Stegostoma tigrinum: one gene and its partner. The protein of the gene in region 2 purifies or fractionates together with the protein of the main gene of each other region. This does not show direct contact. Links are inferred from orthologs where the notes say so. Each region holds a gene or a part of one and is shown on either strand. Other genes may lie near its edges. The genes, in order: dnajb6b and mlf1.

Region 1 (12,480 bases), on a different chromosome or scaffold from region 2:
ACGGAGACACACACACACACACACACACGGCAGGGGAGAAGATAGACGGAGACACACACACACGGCAGGGGAGAAGATAGACGGAGACACACACACACGGCAGGGGAGAAGATAGACGGAGACACACACACACACACACACACACGGCAGGGGAGAAGATAGACGGAGACACACACACACACACACGGCAGGGGAGAAGATAGACGGAGACACACACACACACACACACGGCAGGGGAGAAGATAGACGGAGACACACACACACACACACACACGGCAGGGGAGAAGATAGACGGAGACACACACACACACACACACACGGCAGGGGAGAAGATAGACGGAGACACACACACACACACACACACACACGGCAGGGGAGAAGATAGACGGAGACACACACACACACACACACACGGCAGGGGAGAAGATAGACGGAGACACACACACACACACACACACACGGCAGGGGAGAAGATAGACGGAGACACACACACACACACACACACACACACACGGCAGGGGAGAAGATAGACGGAGACACACACACACACACACACACACACACGGCAGGGGAGAAGATAGACGGAGACACACACACACACACACACACACACGGCAGGGGAGAAGATAGACGGAGACACACACACACACACACACACACACACACACACACACGGCAGGGGAGAAGATAGACGGAGACACACACACACACACGGCAGGGGAGAAGATAGACGGAGACACACACACACACACACACACGGCAGGGGAGAAGATAGACGGAGACACACACACACACACACACACGGCAGGGGAGAAGATAGACGGAGACACACACACACACACACACACACACACACACACGGCAGGGGAGAAGATAGACGGAGACACCCACACACACACGGCAGGGGAGAAGATAGACGGAGACACCCACACACACACGGCAGGGGAGAAGATAGACGGAGACACCCACACACACACGGCAGGGGAGAAGATAGACGGAGACACACACACACACACGGCAGGGGAGAAGATAGACGGAGACACACACACACACACGGCAGGGGAGAAGATAGACGGAGACACACACACACACACACACACGGCAGGGGAGAAGATAGACGGAGACACACACACACACACGGCAGGGGAGAAGATAGACGGAGACACACACACACACACACACACACACACACGGCAGGGGAGAAGATAGACGGAGACACACACACACACACACACACACACACACGGCAGGGGAGAAGATAGACGGAGACACACACACACACACACACACACACACACACACACACGGCAGGGGAGAAGATAGACGGAGACACACACACACACACACACACACACACACACACACACGGCAGGGGAGAAGATAGACGGAGACACACACACACACACACACACACGGCAGGGGAGAAGATAGACGGAGACACACACACACACACACACACACGGCAGGGGAGAAGATAGACGGAGACACACACACACACACACACACACACACGGCAGGGGAGAAGATAGACGGAGACACACACACACACACACACACACGGCAGGGGAGAAGATAGACGGAGACACACACACACACACACACACACACGGCAGGGGAGAAGATAGACGGAGACACACACACACACACACACACACACACACACACACACGGCAGGGGAGAAGATAGACGGAGACACACACACACACACACACACACGGCAGGGGAGAAGATAGACGGAGACACACACACACACACACACACACGGCAGGGGAGAAGATAGACGGAGACACACACACACACACACACACACGGCAGGGGAGAAGATAGACGGAGACACACACACACACACACACACACGGCAGGGGAGAAGATAGACGGAGACACACACACACACACACACACGGCAGGGGAGAAGATAGACGGAGACACCCACACACACACGGCAGGGGAGAAGATAGACGGAGACACCCACACACACACGGCAGGGGAGAAGATAGACGGAGACACCCACACACACACGGCAGGGGAGAAGATAGACGGAGACACCCACACACACACGGCAGGGGAGAAGATAGACGGAGACACCCACACACACACGGCAGGGGAGAAGATAGACGGAGACACCCACACACACACACACACACACGGCAGGGGAGAAGATAGACGGAGACACACACACACACACACACACACACACGGCAGGGGAGAAGATAGACGGAGACACACACACACACACACACACGGCAGGGGAGAAGATAGACGGAGACACACACACACACACACACACACACGGCAGGGGAGAAGATAGACGGAGACACACACACACACACACACACGGCAGGGGAGAAGATAGACGGAGACACCCACACACACACGGCAGGGGAGAAGATAGACGGAGACACCCACACACACACGGCAGGGGAGAAGATAGACGGAGACACCCACACACACACGGCAGGGGAGAAGATAGACGGAGACACCCACACACACACGGCAGGGGAGAAGATAGACGGAGACACCCACACACACACACACACACACGGCAGGGGAGAAGATAGACGGAGACACACACACACACACACACACACACGGCAGGGGAGAAGATAGACGGAGACACACACACACACACACACACGGCAGGGGAGAAGATAGACGGAGACACACACACACACACACACACACACGGCAGGGGAGAAGATAGACGGAGACACACACACACACACACACACGGCAGGGGAGAAGATAGACGGAGACACCCACACACACACGGCAGGGGAGAAGATAGACGGAGACACCCACACACACACGGCAGGGGAGAAGATAGACGGAGACACCCACACACACACGGCAGGGGAGAAGATAGACGGAGACACCCACACACACACGGCAGGGGAGAAGATAGACGGAGACACCCACACACACACGGCAGGGGAGAAGATAGACGGAGACACCCACACACACACGGCAGGGGAGAAGATAGACGGAGACACCCACACACACACGGCAGGGGAGAAGATAGACGGAGACACCCACACACACACGGCAGGGGAGAAGATAGACGGAGACACCCACACACACACGGCAGGGGAGAAGATAGACGGAGACACCCACACACACACGGCAGGGGAGAAGATAGACGGAGACACCCACACACACACGGCAGGGGAGAAGATAGACGGAGACACCCACACACACACGGCAGGGGAGAAGATAGACGGAGACACCCACACACACACGGCAGGGGAGAAGATAGACGGAGACACCCACACACACACGGCAGGGGAGAAGATAGACGGAGACACCCACACACACACGGCAGGGGAGAAGATAGACGGAGACACCCACACACACACGGCAGGGGAGAAGGTAGACGGAGACACCCACACACACACGGCAGGGGAGAAGATAGACGGAGACACCCACACACACACGGCAGGGGAGAAGATAGACGGAGACACCCACACACACACGGCAGGGGAGAAGATAGACGGAGACACCCACACACACACGGCAGGGGAGAAGATAGACGGAGACACCCACACACACACGGCAGGGGAGAAGATAGACGGAGACACCCACACACACACGGCAGGGGAGAAGATAGACGGAGACACCCACACACACACGGCAGGGGAGAAGATAGACGGAGACACCCACACACACACGGCAGGGGAGAAGATAGACGGAGACACCCACACACACACGGCAGGGGAGAAGATAGACGGAGACACCCACACACACACGGCAGGGGAGAAGATAGACGGAGACACCCACACACACACGGCAGGGGAGAAGATAGACGGAGACACCCACACACACACGGCAGGGGAGAAGATAGACGGAGACACCCACACACACACGGCAGGGGAGAAGATAGACGGAGACACCCACACACACACGGCAGGGGAGAAGATAGACGGAGACACCCACACACACACGGCAGGGGAGAAGATAGACGGAGACACCCACACACACACGGCAGGGGAGAAGATAGACGGAGACACCCACACACACACGGCAGGGGAGAAGATAGACGGAGACACCCACACACACACGGCAGGGGAGAAGATAGACGGAGACACCCACACACACACGGCAGGGGAGAAGATAGACGGAGACACCCACACACACACGGCAGGGGAGAAGATAGACGGAGACACCCACACACACACGGCAGGGGAGAAGATAGACGGAGACACCCACACACACACGGCAGGGGAGAAGATAGACGGAGACACCCACACACACACGGCAGGGGAGAAGATAGACGGAGACACCCACACACACACGGCAGGGGAGAAGATAGACGGAGACACCCACACACACACGGCAGGGGAGAAGATAGACGGAGACACCCACACACACACGGCAGGGGAGAAGATAGACGGAGACACCCACACACACACGGCAGGGAAGATAGACGGAGACACCCACACACACACGGCAGGGGAGAAGATAGACGGAGACACACACACACACACGGCAGGGGAGAAGATAGACGGAGACACACACACACACACGGCAGGGGAGAAGATAGACGGAGACACACACACACACACACGGCAGGGGAGAAGATAGACGGAGACACACACACACACACACACGGCAGGGGAGAAGATAGACGGAGACACACACACACACGGCAGGGGAGAAGATAGACGGAGACACACACACACACACGGCAGGGGAGAAGATAGACGGAGACACACACACACACACGGCAGGGGAGAAGGTAGACGGAGACACACACACACACACGGCAGGGGAGAAGGTAGACGGAGACACACACACACACGCGGCAGGGGAGAAGACAGACAAAGACATACACAAGTTGGAGAATACAGGAATGGAAGAGAGGCTTTTGTTTTCTTTGGTCAGCACCCCATCTCCATAACAACCTGTTTCCTCAAGCGAAATCAGCTTTATTCCAAGGCCGAAAGGCCCACGCATTTAGATAAACCAACGGCCTTTCACCCATTTTGTTTTGTCTCTGTCTCTCTCTCTCTCTCTCTCTCTCTCTCTCTCGCTGGCAGTACGCCTCCCCCGTTCGGCCTCACTCCCCTCTGCCAGCATAAATCTGAGCTGACGACAATCGCGACCGGCTACGCGCTTGGGAGGCTATCCTGGAGTATTCTTTTTAAGGTCTCACCTCTCGGTTCCGTACGCCTGCTCCGACTTACTACAACCCAGACTTCGCCCTCACCAACAACTCCCGCTCTAGAAACATCCACCGGCCGCCGAACGGAGAGAGGGGAAAAAAATCTCCGCTTCGTCACTTCCTTTTGGCAGTTATTGCGTCATTATGACGTCGCCCGACCGCTGCTCATATGTGACGTCACCTTTGAAATTTCTGGAAAATGGCGAGAGAACGGTGGCCTGGTATCACGTGGTGGTGATGTGAAGCCGGCTAATCGTTCACCACACAAGCGGGGAAAACAAAGCACTGGAGTTTACAGGAATGAAAGGTGATCTCAATGAAACATCTTGGATTCGTAAGGGGCTTGACAGGGTCAATGCTGGGAGAAACAAAAACAGAAGTTGCTAGAAAAGCTCAGCAGGTCCGGCAGCATCCGTGAAGAAAAAAACTCAAGAGTTTAACGTTTCGGGACCAGTGACCCCTTGCTCAGTACACATTTTTTCTTCTTCACTGATGATAACAGACCAGCTGAGCTTTTCCTGCAACTTCTGTTTTTGTTGTTGGCCCCAATTTAGGACTGATATGAGGAGGAATTTCTTCTCTCACAGGGTTGTGGACTGTTTGCCACAAAGAACCAAGAGTTCTTGTGTGCGTTTATGGCTAATATAGGATCTTAATCAGTAGGGAAATAAAGGGTTATAGTGATAAGGCAGGAAAGTGGATGTGAGGAATGTCTGATAAGCCATGATTTATTGAATGGTGGAACACGCTTGAGGTTACTCCCGTTCCTAATTCTTAAGTTTTTATGATAGTACAGGCTAGAACACACCTTTGACACTGTTGGAATTTCCACCTGGGCTCTGTTGCCCAGTGGTTGGACATTACATTGTGCGATCCTCTTTATGCATAGCCAAACACGCAGGCATCAGCCTTATTTGTTCACAATAATCCCACCTTTTTTAGGGATGAGGAAATGTTCAGCAAGTACTTAATAGAGTGAAGAAGAATGAGACTTATAAGATCTTGAGGTTAAGTGTGGAGCTGGAGGAACACAGCAGATCAGGCAGCATCAGGGAGACAGTCTAGAGGAATGGCGTAAACCTGAAACATCGACATTCCTGTAACTCTGAAACTGCATTACCTGCTGTGATCCTCCAGTTCCACACTGTATTGACACTGACTCCAGCATCTTTGGTTACTACTGTCTCCTAGTGACTTTAGATCTTAAGGTTACTTGACACGATGGATGCTAAGCGGATGGAACAGTGCAGAGCATGGTTTCAAAATAGCAGGTGATCCATTTAAGACTGAGATAATACGCTTGGAGTCTACTTCCTCTGGATCCAGTGGTTGAATTGGTTCAAGATGCAGTTGGGTGGATATTTGATAAGTGGGAGGAAATAGTTAGCGGGAATAGGGCACTCAGGAGAGTGGAGTTGAAAACTGCAGTCACATCAACTTGATCTTACTGAACAGCAAAACATGCTGAAGTGTCCAAATGGCCTACTCATTGTTCTTGTGTTCTTGATTTGAGTATTGCTGAAATTGGACAAAACAATAACCCCACCACCAAAAACATTTTTCCATCCCCACCCTTGCCTGCCTTCCGGAGAGACCACTCTCTCCGCGACTCCCTTGTCCGCTCCACACTCCCCTCCAACCCCACCATACCCGACACTTTCCCCTGCAACCGCAGGAAGTGCTACACTTGCCCCCACGCCTCCTCCCTCACCCCAATCCCAGGCCCCAAGATGACTTTCCATATTAAGCAGAGGTTCACCTGCACATCCGCCAATGTGGTATACTGTATCCATTGTACCCGGTGTGGCTTCCTCTACATTGGGGAAACTAAGCGGAGGCTTGGGGATCGCTTTGCAGAATACCTCTGCTCGGTTCGCAATAAACAACTGCACCTCCCAGTCGCGAACCATTTCAATTCCCCTTCCCATTCTTCAGATGACATGTCCGTCATGGGCCTCCTGCAGTGCCATAATGATGCCACCTGTAGGTTGCAGGAACAGCAACTCATATTCCGCTTGGGAACCCTGCAGCCCATTAGTATCAATGTGGATTTCACTAGCTTCAAAATCTCCCCTCCCCCACTTCATCCCAAAACCAGCCCAGCTCGTCCCAGCCTGCCTAACCTGTTCTTCCTCACATCTATCCCCTCCTCCCACCTCAAGCCGCACCTCCATTTCCTACCTACTAATCGCCCCTTGACCTGTCCATCCTCCCCGGGCTGACCAAACCATTCCCTACCTCCCCACCCATACTCTCCTCTCCACCTATCTTCTCCTCTATCCACCTCCCCTTCTCTCCCTATTTATTTCAGAATCGTCTCCCCATCCCCCTTTTCTGATGAAGGGTCTAGGCCCGAAACGTCAGCTTTTGTGCTCCTAAGATGCTGCTTGGCCTGCTGTGTTCATCCAGTTCTACACTTTGTTATCTTGGATTCTCCAGCATCTGCAGTTCCCATTAGCTCTGTCAAAATGCCTGTTTCAACTATATCAAGTTCTGTTCAACCAGGTAACTCTTTTTTCTTGATTTGGTACAGATATTCAAGATCAAGTGCAGCTTAACACAGTAGAGAGGAAGAAGCAAGCCTATGAAGGCATGAATTTTAAAGGTATTTGAGGAAAGTGTACAAGATCATGAGGCATAGATGGACTGGATAGCCAGAGACATTTTCCCAGGGCAGAAATGACTAGTCCAAGAGGGCATAATTTTAAGGTGATAGGAGGAAGGTACAGGGGAGATGTCAGAAGTAGGTTCTTTACACAGAGAGTGGTGGGCACATGGAATGCACTGCCAGCAGTAGTAGTGGAGTCAGATACTTTACAGACTTTTAAGTGTCTCTTGGATAGGCACATGGTTGATAATAAAATGTAGGGTATGCAGGGTAGCTTGATCTTAATAGGATAATAGGTTGGCACAACAGTGTAGCCAAAGAGTCTGTACTGTGCTGTACTGTTCTATGTTCTAGAAGAAAAAGTGATGAACATGGGAAATGTTCATGCAACAAATAGTTAGAATCTGGAATGTACTCCCTGTGAGTTTGCTAGTGGCATTCAAAAATCAGTTGGGGTACTATTTGAAAAGGAAAGTTGTGCAGTGCCACAGCTTGAGGACTAAGGAGTGGCACTTGGTGAATTGCTCCTGAAAAGAGTTGGTGCAAACACGACAAGCTAAACAAGTTCCTTCTGTGCAGTAATTATTCTACAACTCCGCAGTAGATTTCTCATGTCTCACTTATCTACACTATGTTTCATCCTTTTTCTGAAAATGACTGTATTAATTTTAATCCATCTTATTCTTTCAAAGAGGGAAATATATTCTTTTTGGAGTGCGTTCTTTTCATAGTTGATCTGGGTCAGTCATATGATGTGGGTCTTGTTAACTAGACCAGCATTTTATTGTCCTGGTTTGAGAAGATGGTGGTAAGCCCCTTTCATTAACTGATGTTGACCTTAAGATAGCAAAAATACCTCCAGTACTAGCAGGACACCGTTCCCCAAATTTTAATCTAGTGGCAGTAAAGGAATAGCAATTATAGTTCCAAGTCATGATGGTGTGTAACTTTGAACGAAATATGTGAGTGGTTGCACTCCTGTGTATCTGTTGCCTTGTCCTTCTAGATGTTGGAGACCACTGGTTTGGAAGGTGCTGTTGAGGGAGTCTTGGTGAGTTACTGACAACTCAGTGTGGAGCTGGAGAAACACAGCAGGTTAGGCAGCATCAGAGAAGCAGGAAAGTTGATGTTTCGGGTTAGGACCCTTCTTCAGGACTGGGCTGAAGAAGTGTCCTGCCCCGAAAAACCAACTTTCCAACTTCAAACTGTGTTGTCTCTGACTCGAGCATCTGCAGTACTTACTATCTTTTGGTAAGTTACTGCTGCACTTCTTCGAGATGGCACATGTTGCTGCCGCTGTGTGGAGGTGGTGTAGGGACTGAATGTTTGAGGTGGTGGATTAGTATCATTCCAGTAGACTACTTTGCCCTGGGTGGTGTTAAGCTTCTTGAGTGTTGTGGAGCTGTACTCATCCCGGCAATTGGGAGTATTTCATCACACTCCTTATTTGTGTCTTGTAGAAGATAGATTAGATTTGGGAACTTAGGACGTGAGTTACTTGCCACAGAATTCTAAGACTCTGACGTATTTTTGTAGCCAGAGTATAAATGTAACTAGTTCAGTTCAGTTTCTGGTCAATGATATCTCACAGGATGTTGATATCGGAGAATTTATTGATAGTAATCCCACCGAATGTCAAGAGGCACTAGTTAGATTCTCTCATTAGAGATGGCCATTGCCTGTGGATGTTAACTGTCACCTATCAGCCAAAATCTGGATAATGCCCAGGTATTTCTGCGTATGAGCATCGACTGCTTCAGTATCTGAGGAGTTGCAAATGGTATTCAATATTGCGCAATCGTCAGCAACCATCTCCACTTCTTACCTTATACAGGAGAGAAAGTCATTGATAAAGCAATTGATAAAGAACTCCTGCAGTAGTGTCCTGAGAATGACATAACTGACCTTCAAGAACCACAGCTATCCTGTTGGGTAGGTCTCAGTTTTGTAGATGTTCTGAAGCAGCTTGGTTAGGAACATGACTATTTCTACACCCAAACTTTAGTGTTATTGCTGGAATGTTGTGAGGGCTCTTTTTTAAAACCTATTTTTCTAATCAAACAGTTCAGAGATGTTATTACACCTCTGGAGCAGGTGAAACTTGAATCCAGGCCCCTCAGTCCAGGCATAGGAACACTACCACTGCACCATAAGAGGGCAGCATCAGGGATCATTGCATTTGTAGTATCCAGCACGTTCAGATGTTTCTTGTTAACATGTTGTCAGTCAAATTGTCGAAAAACTGAATATGTGACATCGGGTACCTAAGGAGAAGGCTAAGATATATAATTTATTTGGTGCTTCTGGTGGAAGATGGATGCAAGTACCTTAGCTTTGTCCTTTGTCCGGATATGCCAAGCTACTCCATCAATCCCCATACCCTATTCCCAATTCCTTCGTCTCCGCCACATCTGCTCCCAGGATGAGGCATTCCACTCCCGCACATCCCAGATGGCCAAGTTCTTCAAGGACCGCCACTTCCGCCCCGCAGTGGTTGAGAACGCCCTTGACCGTGTCTCCCGCATTTCCTGCAGCTTACATCCCTCACACCCCACCCCTGCCATAACCGCCCTAAGAGGATCCCCCTCGTCCTCACATACCACCCCACCAACCTCCTGATATAACGCGTTATCCTCCGACACTTCCACCATCTACAATCCGCCCCCACCACCCAAGACATTTTTCCATCCCCACCCTTGTCTGCCTTCTGGAGAGACCACTCTCTCCGTGACTCCCTTGTCCGCTCCACACTCCCCTCCAACCCCACCACACCCAGCACCTTCCCCAGCAACTGCAGGAAGTGCTACACTTGTCCCCACACCTCCTCCCTCACCCCCATCCCAGGCCCCAAGATGACTTTCCATATTAAGCAGATGTTCACTTGCATATGTGCCGATATAGTATACTGTATCCACTGTACCCGGTGAGGCTTTCTCTACATTGGGGAAACCAAGCGGAGGCTTGGGGACTGCTTTGCTGAACGCCTCCGCTCGGTTCGCAATAAACTACTGCACCTCCCAGACGTGAACCATTTTAACTCCCCCTCCCATTCCTTAGAGGACATGTCCATCATGGGCCTCCTGCAATGCCAGAATGATACCACCTGAAAGTTGCAGGAACAGCAACTCATATTCCGCTTGGGAACCCAGCAGCCCAATGGTATCAGTGTGGACTTCACAAACTTCAAAATCTCCCCCTCCCCGACTTCATCCCAAAACCAGCCCAGCTCGCCCCCCTCCCCCCATTGCATCCCAAAACAAGCCCAGCTCATGTGGGATTAATGATGTAACCATTCAAAAGCACCTACCAACTGAAACCAAACTGGACTTCAAATAGGCACTACAACTGGCTTTATCAATGGAAAATGTGACAAGTGGAGCGTGGGAGTTACAGGGTATTCCAATAGACGTGGACACCCTTGCCGGTCCAAGTGAGTGTGAGGAACTCCACTTGAGTAAACACAGTTGCAGTGCATCACTCAGGACTTATCCTGAACAGAGGAACGCGAGGTCAGTCCACAGCAAAACACTAAAACAAAGCCAAGCCTCAGCCAAATGGTGAAAAATTTTCTTCGGGATCTGGGCTGACAAGCCATTGTAGTTATTGCCGGTATGCAGACTCAAGACAGCAAAAGAGTCCCATTGGATCAAAAAGGAATAAGAGAACTCATTAGGCAGTATCCAAGCGAGTGCACATGCTGGAGAGTCCACGGACACATGGTTTGGAGCAGTTAAATTGCTTAGCAAAATCAAAATCAGAACCAATCAAAATAAAATCTGGTTAAATGGTCACCCAGTTCTAACGGAGGTCGAAGATAACAAAGTATGAAGCTGGACGAACACAGCAGGCCAAGCAGCATCTCAGGAGCACAAAAGCTGACATTTCGGGCCTAGACCCTTCATCAGAGAGGGGAATGGGGAGAGGGTTCTGAAATAAATAGGGAGAGAGGGGGAGGCGGACTGAAGATGGAGAGAAAAGAAGATAGGTGGGGAGGGGATAGGTCAGTCCGGGGAGGATGGACAGGTCAAGGAGGCGCGATGAGGTTGGTAGGTGGGAAATGGAGGTGTGGCTTGAGGTGGGAGGAGGGGATAGGTGAGACGAAGGACAGGTTAGGGAGGCGGGGACGAGCTGGGCTGGTATTGTGATGCAGTGGGGAGAGGGGACAAGCTGGGCTGGTTTTGGGATGAAGTTGGTTGGGGGGGAGATTTTGAAGCTTGTGAAGTCCACATTGATACCATTGGGCTACAGGTTCCCAAGCGGAATATGAGTTGCTCTTCCTGCAACCTTCGGGTGGCATCATTGTGGCACTGCAGGAGACCCATGATGGACATGTCATCTAAGGAATGGGAGGGGGAGTTAAAATGCTTCGTGACTGGGAGGTGCATCAACACATCTCTCACCTTCCTGGTCACCTCTGTCTCCATCTCAGGCAACCAGCTAGAAACTGATGTCCACCTCAAGCCCACTGACTCCCACAGCTACCTAGAATACACCTCCTCCCACCCACCACCCTACAAAAATTCTATCCCCTATTCCCAAGTCATTCACCTCCACCGCACCTGCTCCCAGGATGAGATATTCCACTCCCACACGTCCCAGATGTCTGCGTTCTTCAAGGACCGCAACTTCCCCCCCGCAGTGGTCGAGAACGCCCTTGACCATGTCTCCCGCATTTCCCGCAACACATCCCTCACACCCCGCCCCCTCGTCCTCA
Region 2 (12,580 bases):
TTATCTGGAGAGTGTTACCTGACGACAATACGACAGATTATTTCAAACATGCTGTCAAGATCATAGGTCAGAACCACAAAATACGATGGATATTTTGAACTTATTGTTCCAAAATGTTTCTTTTAAAAGAGTCTAATACAACAAAAAACTGGCTGTAGTTGTAAATTAAGTAGCGGTCTCGAGCAAGGATCACCCACAGAATCTGACAACAGATTAAAGTGCTGTTTACTCAGACTATCGATCTCACATCATTCCAACCTTCCCTCCCTCCTAACACTCACACATGCCTTCTCTCCACACAAAACGTCTCATTCAATCACTCCTGCCCTTCAATCCCACTCAGCGATGTCCTCCGTCCGCCACTCTATACAGCAGAAATGGGCTTTTTTAACTCCTGTCCTTATGTAATGGTTGAAGGGAAAAATACAATCTGCGCTTTGGCATATTAATTTGCATGGGGTCGTTAATTGTTGAGTGGGGAATCGTCAGCCCCTCTTTCACAGTCCAGTTGGTTTTGACTAGTCTTTTCCTCCTGTTTGGAGGCCTGCTGTTTGAAGTTCCACTTGAATCTGTAGTTGTCAAATTCTGTGGGTGCCTCTTGCTCGAGACAGTCACTTCATTTACAACCACAGCCAGTTTTTGTTGTATTTGACGCTTTAAAAAAAACATTTTGGAACAGTAAATTCAAAATATCCATAGTATTTTGTGGTTCTGATCTGTGATCATAACAATATGTTTCAAAGAATCTATGTCGTAGTGTAGTTAGGTAACATCCTCTAGATAAGATGTCCTCTGTTTCCAAGTTTATGTTTGATAAAGCTTTTTACTATTTACTTAGACTATCAATCTCACATAATTACAACCTCCCCATCCCCCAAAACTCTCATACTTTCTCTCCACACATTCATTCACTCCTGCCCTTCAATCTCACTTAGAAATGTCCTCTGTCCCCACTTGACCCTCCACTCAATACTGTGCTCCCTCCCATCTCAGTCCTCACTCATCCTATCTACTATCTGGACTTGTCCACCTGGTCTAGAAGAGGGGAGCTAGAGAGTAAAAGCAACAATAATGACGGAAGATACTGGGAAAATTTTTATCAAGTAAGGCTCAATCCCTAAAATTTTATGAAACATCAAGTGATGGAGGACAGGAGTGGTTGTCGGGGCTCAAACTGCAGGGTCTGGATTCCAGCCATCAGCTCCACACCTTCCTTCAATGAAAGTCATCCACTAATGAGCTAACTAGTAATGAACATAAAATAGGCTGTGTGATTGATAAACAAGGTTGGCTTGCATCTCAATCAGGAGTTCAAAGTTGTGAGAAGTATTTCCACAGACATGAAGTATTCAATTCTTGGATAAACTTAGGATCAGAAAGTATTTGGCACAAAAGAAAACTGCTCAGTCATAAAGTTTGAACAGGATGCATTTCGCAGGTCTTGTATGTGATTTGAGCTCGGTAATAATAAACATGTAAAGAAAAATATACATGAACAATTATTAAAAGGTCCCATTTCAATTCATTAGATTTTGTTTCTCCTCTTTCCGCTACCCAATTTTTGAATTAAAATAATGAGTAATGATTTGCATTAAAGCAAGAATAAACGGCTTAATATTAATGGGGTTAAAATTGAAGTGCATGATATTCTTGAAATGAGTGCTATAGTAATGCTCAACATTTTTCATCACGTAAAAGTAACACCCTGTGTAAGTATATTAATTACTGCATAGAGAAAGGAGATAAGGGGAACTGATAGGTCAGACAAAACAGTTGAATTACCATGGAAACCAGCAGGCGGGCAGGCCAAATCTAAAGGTGGGCATTACATGGGCCAGCATGTAGATGAGAATTACAAATGTGTACCGAAAATTCAGGATTTTTGAGCATTTCTCCAGGTAATTGAGTCATATTCTCATTTGCCTACACTTGAATAAAATCTTTAAGTGTGACAGTGGTAATTTTTCACGATTTTCACCACAACTGGCTTTTTCAGCAGGAAGGTTGAGGCTTTACATCAACGGACAAGCGAGTATATTTACTTAATTACAAGTTAAATAATGAAGTCAGGGTTTAGGTAAGAACTGTGTGGTCCATTTGAGGATTCAAACCAAAAAGGAAGTTTGTGAATGAAGTAATTAAAGATGGTGCAGGGACAAGATCATGATAAACATGGAGATTGTATTATGTTCAGGGTGAACTAGAAGAATAAATGAAAGGCTTTAAGGAATAAGAATGATCCTAGGGTAAATCAGGAGAGATATATTCCCATTGGGAAGAGGCATCAAACTAAACTCCAGACATGATAAACCAAGATTCAGAATGGGGACCCAAGATATAAATATTGCAACTTATGGAGCACCATTGGTATAGGCCTGGCAATGGCTGAGACATAGCAGTCAAAGCTGTGCAATCTGTGCAAAGCATAACGGAGAAGCCCAGTAAAATTAAGTTAGTCAACCAGCCTAGACCAAAGGGCTGTGGCCACAACAGAGAGGTTTGGTGACAAAGCTATTTTTAAAAATTCATCCACAGGATGTGGGTGTCGCTAGTTGGCCGTCATTCTCATTGTTCGTCCCTAATTGTCCTTGAGAAGGTGGTGGTGAGCTGTCTTCATGAGCTGCTGCAGTCCATGTACTGCAAGTAGATCCACAATCTTGTTCAGGAGGCAATTCCAGGATTTGACCCAGTTACACTGAAGGAACTGCAATAACTCAAGATGGTGAGTGGCTTGCTAGGGAACTTGCAAATTACGGCATTCCCATGTATCTTAGTCCTTTTCCTCCTGGAAAGAAGTGGTTATGGATTTGGAAGGTTCTGTTTAAGATTTTAGCAAATTTCTGAATTGAACCTTGAAGATAGTACACATTGCTGCTACGAAGCGTTCTGGTAGACGTTGTGGATGTTTGTGGATGTGATGTCAATTATGTGCTGATTTGTCCTGGATGGTGTCAACCTTCTTGTTGGAGCGGCGTTCATACAGGCAAGTGTGGAGTGTCCATCACACTCTTGGCTTGTAGTTAGAGTCTTGGAAACAAACACTTTGGCCCAACTAGACCATGCCAACCATGTTCCTAAACTTAACTAGTCCCATTTGCCTGCATTTGGCTTGTATCCCTCCAAACTTTCTCTTATGCATGTACTTATCCAAATGTCTTTTAAATGCTGTAACTGTACCTGCATCCATCGCTTCCTCTGGCAGTTCATTCCACACATGAACCACTTCCTGCATTAAAAAAACACTTTCTTCTCCTACCTTAAAAATATTGCCTCTTAGTTTTGGAACAAGCTTTGGAAGTCAGGAAGTCGTTATTCACCACTGTATTCCTAGCTTCTGACCTGCTCTTGTAGCCACTGTATTTTTATGGCGAGTCCAGTTCAGTTTCTAGTCAACGGTAAATCCAAGGTTGTTGATAATACATGATTCAGTGATGGTTAACACCACTGAATGTCAAGGGGCGGCATCGAAATTGCCTATTATTGGTGATGGTCATTGCCTGGCCTTTGTGTGATGTGAATGTTATTTGCCACTTGTTGGCCCAAGTGTGGATATTATCCACACCTTGTTGCATTTGAACATGAACTGCTTCAGTACCTTAGAAGTTGACAATGGCACTGAACATTTGTGCACTCAATCATCAATGAACATCCCATTTCGATTTATGACAAATGGCTGGCCATTGATGAAGCAGCTGAAGATGGATGACCTTCGACACCACCCTAAGAAACACCCGCAGGGGTATCCTGAGATGACTGACCCCTAGCAACCACAACCATCTTCCATATCCAATCACACCTAGCCCCAACTTCTGCACGTCATCACTACCCTAAACCCACTCCTGAAAGTCAGTCATCTCAGCTCCTGGGCATCTCTGCCAGAGTTGCTCAGGGTAGTGTCCTAGGCTCAAACATCTTCAGCTGCTTTTTCGATCACCTTCCCATCATCGTAAGATGTTCAGCACCATTTGCAACTCCTCAAATACTGAAGCAGTCTAAATTCAAATGCAACAGATCTGGACAATATCCAGGCTTGGGCTGACAAGTGGCAAACAATATTCACATCACACAAATGCCAGGTTATGACCACCATCAATAACAGACAAATTAACCACTGCCCCTGACATTCCAATGGTGTTAGCATCACTGATTCCCCAAATAACAACATCCTGGGGGGGATTGGTGACTATTGACCAGAAACTGAACTGGACTCACCACGTAAACACAGTGACTACCAAAGCAGGTCAGAGGCCAGGAATACTGTGAGTAACTCACCTACTGATCCCCACTTCCCCCACCGAAGCCTGTTCTCCATTTACAAAGGCACGAGTCAGGAGTGTGATGGAATAGACCCCAATTGCCTGAATGGGCACAGCTCCAATAACATTGCAGAAGCTTGATACCATGCAGAACAAAAAAGCACACTTGACTGGCACTTCATCTCCAAGAATTCACTCCCTCCACCACTGATACTCAGGGGCAGCTGTGTGTACTATCCTTGAACACCAACTGGGGGCAGGCAATTAATGCTGGCCTGCTAGCGACACCCGCAACCCACAAAAATGAATTTAAAAATTCAATTCCGACTTGGATGCTTCCATTGAACCTGCCTTCAGGACTTGGACGCCAATCAATGACTATCCGGAAATGTTTCATGTTCTGGTCACTGGACTCGAAATGTTAACTCTTGATTTCTCTCCACAGATGCTGCCAGAACTGCTGAAAAATTTCTGATTTTGTTTCTCCTGTCTCCCATTGATTTTTTTTGCCTGCATCAAACCTGCATCATCCTTGCTCTCCCGACTTCCAACAATGGGGGAATATATATATTTTGTGCCTCCGTCTACACTGTTTAAGAAACGCACGCCCCTCCCTCCTCCAACAAGCCTCACGCCCTGCTCAAGAGGAATATCTCTCCCAAATGTGGAAAGAAATACAGGGGAAATATAAAGGAAGCACCCCAGCGATTTAAGCAAATATTGTAACCCAAGCTTACGAGAAGAACGGATCTTCCTCGATCTCACGGAACATGGTGTAGGGTCCGGGGTGGGGGGGGGGGTCACGGCCGCTCGACTCGGCACTTTCTCAGCCTCGCTTAAACTTGGCGATGCGCCCTCGCACGTTCAGATTCCTCAGCGCCCTCCAGATCGCTTACAATCATCTATCCAACCTACCTACCCACCCACCCTCCCTTCCTTCCTTCAGGGAACGAAGCCCGTGCCTCTTCCGACTGACTCTCAGGGAAACTTCAACAGGCAGACCCACGTTTTTGTTTTGAAGGACGACGCCAACGTCGCTATGGCAACGCGCACAAGGCGGGCTGCACGGTGATTGGTGGAAATCCGTCCAATCGGCCCGTCTCCCTCGATAATGGTCCAAACCTCCAATCAGAGGTCGGTGCGCCGCCGTATCACAAACAGAAGGGTTATGACATCACTTGCACGAGATACAGTGGCAAGCATAGTCGATGGGAACTGCAGATGCTGGCAAGCATGCGCGCTTGGCTGACAGCGATAGCGACGCGCTCCTGTGGTATCCAACACAAACATATATGAAGTGGAGGTAACGGGAACTGCAGATGTTGGAGAATCCGAGATAACAAAGTGTGAAGCTGGATGAACACAGCAGGCCAAGCAGCATCTTCGGAGCACAAAAGCTGACGTTTCGGGCCTAGACCCTTCACCAGAAAAGGCGGATGAGGAGAGGGTTCTGGAAATAAATAGGGAGAGAGGGGGAGGCGGACCGAAGGTGGATAGAGGAGAAAATAGGCGGAGAGGAGACAGACAGGTCAAAGAGACGGGGATGGAACCTGTAGAGGTGAGTATAGGTAGGGAGGGGATAGGTCAGTCTGGGGAGAACAGACAGGCCAAGGAGGTGGGATGAGGTTAGTAGGTAGGAAATGGAGGTGCGGCTTGAGGTGGGAGGAGGGGATAGGTGAGAGGAGGAACAGGTTAGGGAGGCGGGGACGAGCTGGGCTGGTTTTCGGATACAATGGGGGGAGGGGAGATTTTGAAGCTTGTAAAGTCCACATTGATACCATTGGACTGCAGGGTTCCCAAGCGGACTATGAGTTGCTGTTCCTGCAACCTTCGGGTGGCATCATTGTGGTACTGCAGGAGGCCCAGAATGGATGTGTCGTCTAAGGAATGCGAGGGGAGTGACTTGTCCGTCCTCCTCGGACTGACCTATCCCGTCCCTACCTCCGGACCTCTACAGGCTCCATCCCCGCCCCTTTAACTCGTCTGTCTCCTCTCCACATCTTCGATCCGCCTCCCCCTCTCTGCCTATTTATTTCAGAATCCTCTCCCCATCCCCCTTTTCTGATGAAGGGTCTAGGCCCGAAACGTCAGCTTTTGTGCTCCTGAGATGCTGCTTGGCCTGCTGTGTTCATCCAGCGCCACACTTTGTTATATACAAAGTAGATATTTGCTGATCAAGGTCCACAATGTCTCCAAGCTTTACCATTAGTAAATGGTGTAAGATTTAAACTTTAAAATGAGCGCATTTCAGTGAATGCCAACCAAAATCATATTTCAGAATGAGGTGAAGATAGAGTAACATAAAAGTACTAATTTTGTTAAGAAACATAAGTGCTAATCTTGAATGTGAAAATGTAATATTTTTCAAATTGGACAAAACTTACAGTTAATGCAATTAAAAACTAAAATAATGGTGGAAAAAGTTTACAAAGTATTGAGTGACCATGTACATTTATCTACAAGATAACTGACATTACTTAGGAAAAATATTCATGGTGTAGAAGAAGGCCACAAGGCCCATTCTTTCATCAGTGCTAGGTCAGAAAAACAACTTATCAGACAAATCCCATTTTCCAGCTTTGGGTTCCAGAGCTATGAGCTCAGAAAAACTTTTAAGACAGAAAAATAAACAAAATATATTTTGGAAAATTGTTAAGCTGCTGAGATAAATGTGGAACAAAAGATTATCAGAGTATTCATTTGAACAAAACATGATTTGCATTTGTATAAAGTTGCTATAGCCCTTCTGGACCATAAAGTTACCCTCTCATCAGCGACAGAGATGACTGGTGCTGGTTTAACTCATGGTCACCCTGCCTCAGGTGAGGGAAGACGGTCTAAAAGAAAGTCCTTAACCTCAGCTATTGAGGGGATGGAACCCAATGTAGGTATGACTCTGTGTTGAAATCAAGCTGTCCAGCGAACTCACCCCAGTATCATTTGTCTAACACTTTTCATAATCTCAGGGATGTATCAAAATGCTTTACAGCTAATTAAGAATTTTTTGATGTGTAACCTTCCTTGTAACACAAAAAACAAAGGCAATCTATTTGTGTGCAGCGAATGATTATGACTGGTTAATGTCTTCTTTCAGTAGTGTTGGTTGTGGGATAAAAAATATGCAGGACAAAAGAAAGAATTCCTGTAATCATCTTTGAAGTATTACCATAACATCTTTATTGTCCATGTGAGAGACAGTTATCGGTATCTTAGTATTGCCCCGAGAGTATTAGCCTGGATTTTTGGGCTTAAGTCTCTGGAGCAGAATTTGAACTCATCAAGTCCCAGAAAATCAATGAGTGGTCATCTGAAGGGTGCAGCAAAACATCTGGAACATTTTAAGAACTAGACCTTATGTCAAGACAATTATAAGTTTGCCCAAAATTGCCAAGCTTCTGACGCAGCTTGCCAGATTTAGTTTATCTAGTTGTCATCAAGATAAATCTGAAGAGGTTGAGATCGTGTATGCTACCATCTGTATTTTTCCAGTGTCTAGGTTCTTCAGGGACTTCCACGAACTGGTGTGTAAAGGGTTTCCAGTCTAACAAGAAGACCCTAGACTAACTGTCTTAATAATTTACTGATGTCTGTCTCTCTCCCTTTTTGAATCAGGCATCACATTAGCAGATTTTCAATCTATTGGAACCCTCCCAGATTCCTAAGAATTCTGGAATATTTCAACCAATGCCTCAACATCTCTGTCGCCACCTCCTTTTTAAAATCTTTGGATGCAAGCTATTGGGTCCTGGCAACTTGTCTGCATTAATCCCATTAATTTGTCAAATACTTTGTTTCTGTTACAAGACCTTTCCTCTAATAGCACCTTGTTTATCTGTTATCTTTGGCAGTTTATAATGTCCTTTGCCTCAAGGCCAATTACAAGATATTGGTTTAAATTGTATACAGTTTCCCAGTTAATTAATCAATTAATTTCCCACTTGTGCACTCCAAGGAATAGATACTTACTTCAGCTATTCTCTTCCTGTTTATATACCCATGTAAGCTCTTGCTGTTTGTTTCATATTTCTTGCCAACTTACTTTCAAATTTCTCCTTGTTTATTAGCTTTTCAGTCATTTGCTGCTGGTTCCTAAAAGAAATTCCAATCCTTTGCCTACCACTAGTTTTCACTGTTTTGTACTTTTTGATTGGATATTTCCATGACTGCCTTTGTTAACCGTGGTGGTTTATCTTGCTCATTGAGTCCTTCTTCACTGGAATAATGTTTTGCCGAGCATGATGAAATACCTGTTGAAATGCCTGCCACTGCTCATCCACTGACTTTCATATGACTTATTTATCCCAGCCTTCTTTCGATGGCTCTTTTTCAATACCCCCGTAATTGCCCGCATTGAATTTGTAATTTTATAAAGTTATGAAAACTACCCCAGAGGATCCTTTACTGTGAGATCTCTTATTAATCCTACCTCATTACACACTACTTGTACTAAAATATCCTGCTCCAATGAAGGTTGTCCATTTAGGAGAGCTCATGGTATAATAGTATCTTGAAACACATCTAACACATCAATTGATCACACTCTGGGCATTTCTGGGTTTTTGTCTTTATTGTAAGTCCCAAATTTGCTTTGCTTCCGTAAATGGTCAAAATCATTTCTGTCCTCATTTATTTGAGCTAAAATTCTCCATTTCCATGTAACCTGTAGTGAATTGGTCTCACGAGACCATGAACGTTATATCTTCCCTTTACTGACATGAACAAAAGGAGGTGATGGCCTAGTGGTATTATCACTAGACTGTTAATCCAGAGATCAAGATAACATTCTGGGAACCCGGGTTCGAATCCAATCATGGCAGATGGTGGAATCTGAATTCAATAAATATCTGGAATTAAAAGATGATCATGAATCCATTGCTGACGTTTCGGGCCTAGACCCTTCATCAGAGAGGGGGATGGGGTGAGCGTTCTGGAATAAATAGGGAGAGAAGGGGATGTGGACCGAAGATGGAGAGAAAAGAAGATAGGTGGAGAGGAGAGTATAGGTGGGGAGGTAGGGAGGGGATAGGTCAGTCCAGGGAAGACGGACAGGTCAAGGAGGTGGGATGAGGTTAGTAGGTAGATGGGGGTGCGGCTTGGGGTGGGAGGAAGGGATGGGTGAGAGGAAAAACAGGTTAGGGAGGCAGAGACAGGTTGGACTGGTTTTGGGATGCAGTGGGTGGAGGGGAAGAGCTGGGCTGGTTGTGTGGTGCAGTGGGGGGAGGGGACGAACTGGGCTGGTTTAGGGATGCAGTTGGGGAAGGGGAGATTTTGAAACTGGTGAAGTCCACATTGATACCATTAGGCTGCAGGGTTCCCAGGCGGAATATGAGTTGCTGTTCCTGCAACGTTCGGGTGGCATCATTGTGGCACTGCAGGAGGCCCATGATGGACATGTCAACTAAAGAATGGGAGGGGGAGTGGAAATGGTTTGCGACTGGGAGGTGCAGTTGTTTGTTGCGAACTGAGCGGAGGTGTTCTGCAAAGCAGTCTCCAAGCCTCCGCTTGGTTTCCCCAATGTAGAGGAAGCCACACCGGGTACAGTGGATGCAGTATACCACATTGGCAGATGTGCAGGTGAACCTCTGCTTAATGTGGAATGTCATCTTGGGGCCCGGGATAGGGGTGAGGGAGGAGATGTGGGGGCAAGTGTAGCATTTCCTGCGGTTGCAGGGGAAGGTGCCGGGTGTGGTGGGGTTGGAGGGCAGTGTGGAGCGAACAAGGGAGTCACGCAGAGAGTGGTCTCTCCGGAAAGCAGACAGGGGTGGGGATGGAAAAATGTCTTGGGTGGTGGGGTCGGATTGTAGATGGCGGAAGTGTCGGAGGATGATGCGTTGTATCCGGAGGTTGGTGGGGTGGTGTGTGAGAACGACATTTCAGCCTTCCCAATTTGGCCCCAACCGTGACCACCTCTATACCCAGAATATTCAGACCCTTCAGAAGCGTTTCTCCCTGCGACTCCTGAAACAGACACTCGCAGCCATGCGCCGGCACCTCCACACACTGCAATCCAGCCTGCCCCAGCTCAGTGCCTCCCTCTCCCAGACCTGCAAAGGACCCCTGCTGTTTTTTATCCTCCGCAGGATCCACAGACTGAACACCCAGTTCCACTTAGCTTTACTGGACACCAAAAATCGTAAGTACAACCAACTCACTGGCCCCTGCCTCCCACAAGAGGATCCCTGCGCCTCCCAAATCCCGAGTCTGTCCCTGCCCCTCCCCCACCATGCACCCGCTGCCATTGACCATGAGGACACGGCCGGAGACCCCACCGATGACGTCACATCCGCCTCCGCCGGCCACACCACTTCCGGGACCGCTGCTGCAGTCACCGCCTCCACTTCCAGTCACAACACCTCACACACCACCCTCACCGCAGCTGCTGCCGCCCACCCCGATCCTCCCACCGCTGACGGAACCCAGCCCAAAGCCGACGCCGACGGAACCCCGCCCACGGCCGACGGAACCCCGCCCACGGCCGACGCCGACGGAACCCCGCCCATGGCCGACGCCCTCATCGCTCCGCCCACAACCTCCACAGCCAGCAACCCCAGAGGAGACAGCCACACCGAACCCTGCCGCATCTTCACCATCCCCCCAGACCTCCCACGATCGAGGACGAACGGTCAGTCCTTAGTAAGGGGCTCACCTTTGTCCCCCTACAACCACACATCAACGAATACCAGTCACGATTGGACATAGAGCAGTTTTTCCGCCGTCTTCGCCTCCATGCCTACTTCTTCAACTGGGAGCCTAACCCCGCCTCCACTGACCCCTTCACCCACTTCCAACACAAGTCCTCCTCCTGGACACCACCCCCAGGCCTCCTACCCTCCCTCGACCTCTTCATCTCCAACTGCCGTTGAGACATTAACCGCCTCAACCTCTCCACCCCTCTCACCCACTCCAACCTCTCCCCCGCAGAACGGGCAGCCCTCCGCTCCAACCCCAGCCTCACCATCAAACCCGCAGACAAGGGCGGTGCAGTGGTAGTATGGCGCACTGACCTCTACATCGCCGAGGCCATACGCCAACTCTCTGACACCACCTCCTACCGCCCCCTCGATCATGACCCCACACCCGAGCACCAAACCATCATCTCCAATACCATTCATGACCTCATCACCTCAGGGGACCTCCCACCCACAGCCGCCAGCCTCATTGTTCCCCAACCCCACACGGCCCGTTTCTATCTCCTTCCCAAAATCCACAAACCTGCCTGCCCTGGTCGACCCATCGTCTCAGCCTGCTCCTGCCCCACCGAACTCATCTCCACCTATCTGGACTCCATTTTCTCCCCTTTGGTCCAGGAACTCCCCACATACGTCCGTGACACCACCCACGCCCTCCACCTCCTCCAGGACTTCCAATTCCCTGGCCCCCAACACCTCATCTTCACCATGGACATCCAGTCCCTATACACCTGCATTCCGCATGCAGATGGCCTCAAGGCCCTCCGCTTCTTCCTGTCCTGCAGGCCCGACCAGTCCCCCTCCACCGACACCCTCATCTGCCTAGTCGAACTCGTCCTCACCCTCAACAACTTCTCTTTTGACTCCTCCCACTTCCTACAGACTAAGGGATGGCCATGGGCACCCGCATGGGCCCAAGCTATGCCTGCCTCTTTGTAGGTTATGTGGAACAGTCCCTCTTCCGCACCTACACAGGCCCCAAACCCCACCTCTTCCTCCGGTACATTGATGACTGTATCGGCGCCGCCTCTTGCTCCCCAGAGGAGCTTGAACAGTTCATCCACTTCACCAACACCTTCCACCCCAACCTTCAGTTCACCTGGGCCATCTCCAGCACATCCCTCACCTTCCTGGACCTCTCAGTCTCCATCTCAGGCAACCAGCTTGTAACTGATGTCCATTTCAAGCCCACTGACTCCCACAGCTACCTAGAATACACCTCCTCCCACCCATCCTCCTGCAAAAATTCCATCCCCTATTCCCAATTCCTCCGCCTCCGCCGCATCTGCTCCCACGATGAGGCATTCCACTCCCGCACATCCCAGATGTCCAAGTTCTTCAAGGACCGCAACTTACCCCCACAGTGATCGTGAACGCCCTTAACCGCGGCTCCCGTATTTCCTGCAACACATCCCTCACACCCCGCTCCCCACCACAACCGCCCAAAGAGGATCCCCCTCATTCTCACACACCACCCCACCAACCTCCGGATACAACGCATCATCCTCCGACACTTCCGCCATCTACAATCCGACCCCACCACCCAAGACATTTTTCCATCCCCACCCCTGTCTGCTTTCCGGAGAGACCACTCTCCCCGTGACTCCCTTGTTCGCCCCACCACACCCGGCACCT

The links.
Region 1: the proteins of mlf1 (region 2) and dnajb6b purify together in Homo sapiens (affinity purification with mass spectrometry; 3 studies listed by BioGRID and IntAct, counting the BioPlex papers as one, with this or other methods). This does not show direct contact. The link is inferred for Stegostoma tigrinum from reciprocal best matches to the Homo sapiens genes MLF1 and DNAJB6.

What each region holds. Positions count from the first base shown.
Region 1 is NC_081355.1:140,057,756-140,070,235, forward strand, and holds the start of dnajb6b (dnaJ homolog subfamily B member 6b), read right to left. Parts: upstream 5,295-12,480; 5' UTR 5,150-5,294; intron 1-5,149. UniProt on the Homo sapiens protein: Has a stimulatory effect on the ATPase activity of HSP70 in a dose-dependent and time-dependent manner and hence acts as a co-chaperone of HSP70. Plays an indispensable role in the organization of KRT8/KRT18 filaments.
Region 2 is NC_081367.1:25,751,279-25,763,858, reverse strand, and holds the start of mlf1 (myeloid leukemia factor 1), read right to left. Parts: upstream 5,162-12,580; 5' UTR 5,029-5,161; coding exon 4,994-5,028; intron 1-4,993. UniProt on the Homo sapiens protein: Involved in lineage commitment of primary hemopoietic progenitors by restricting erythroid formation and enhancing myeloid formation.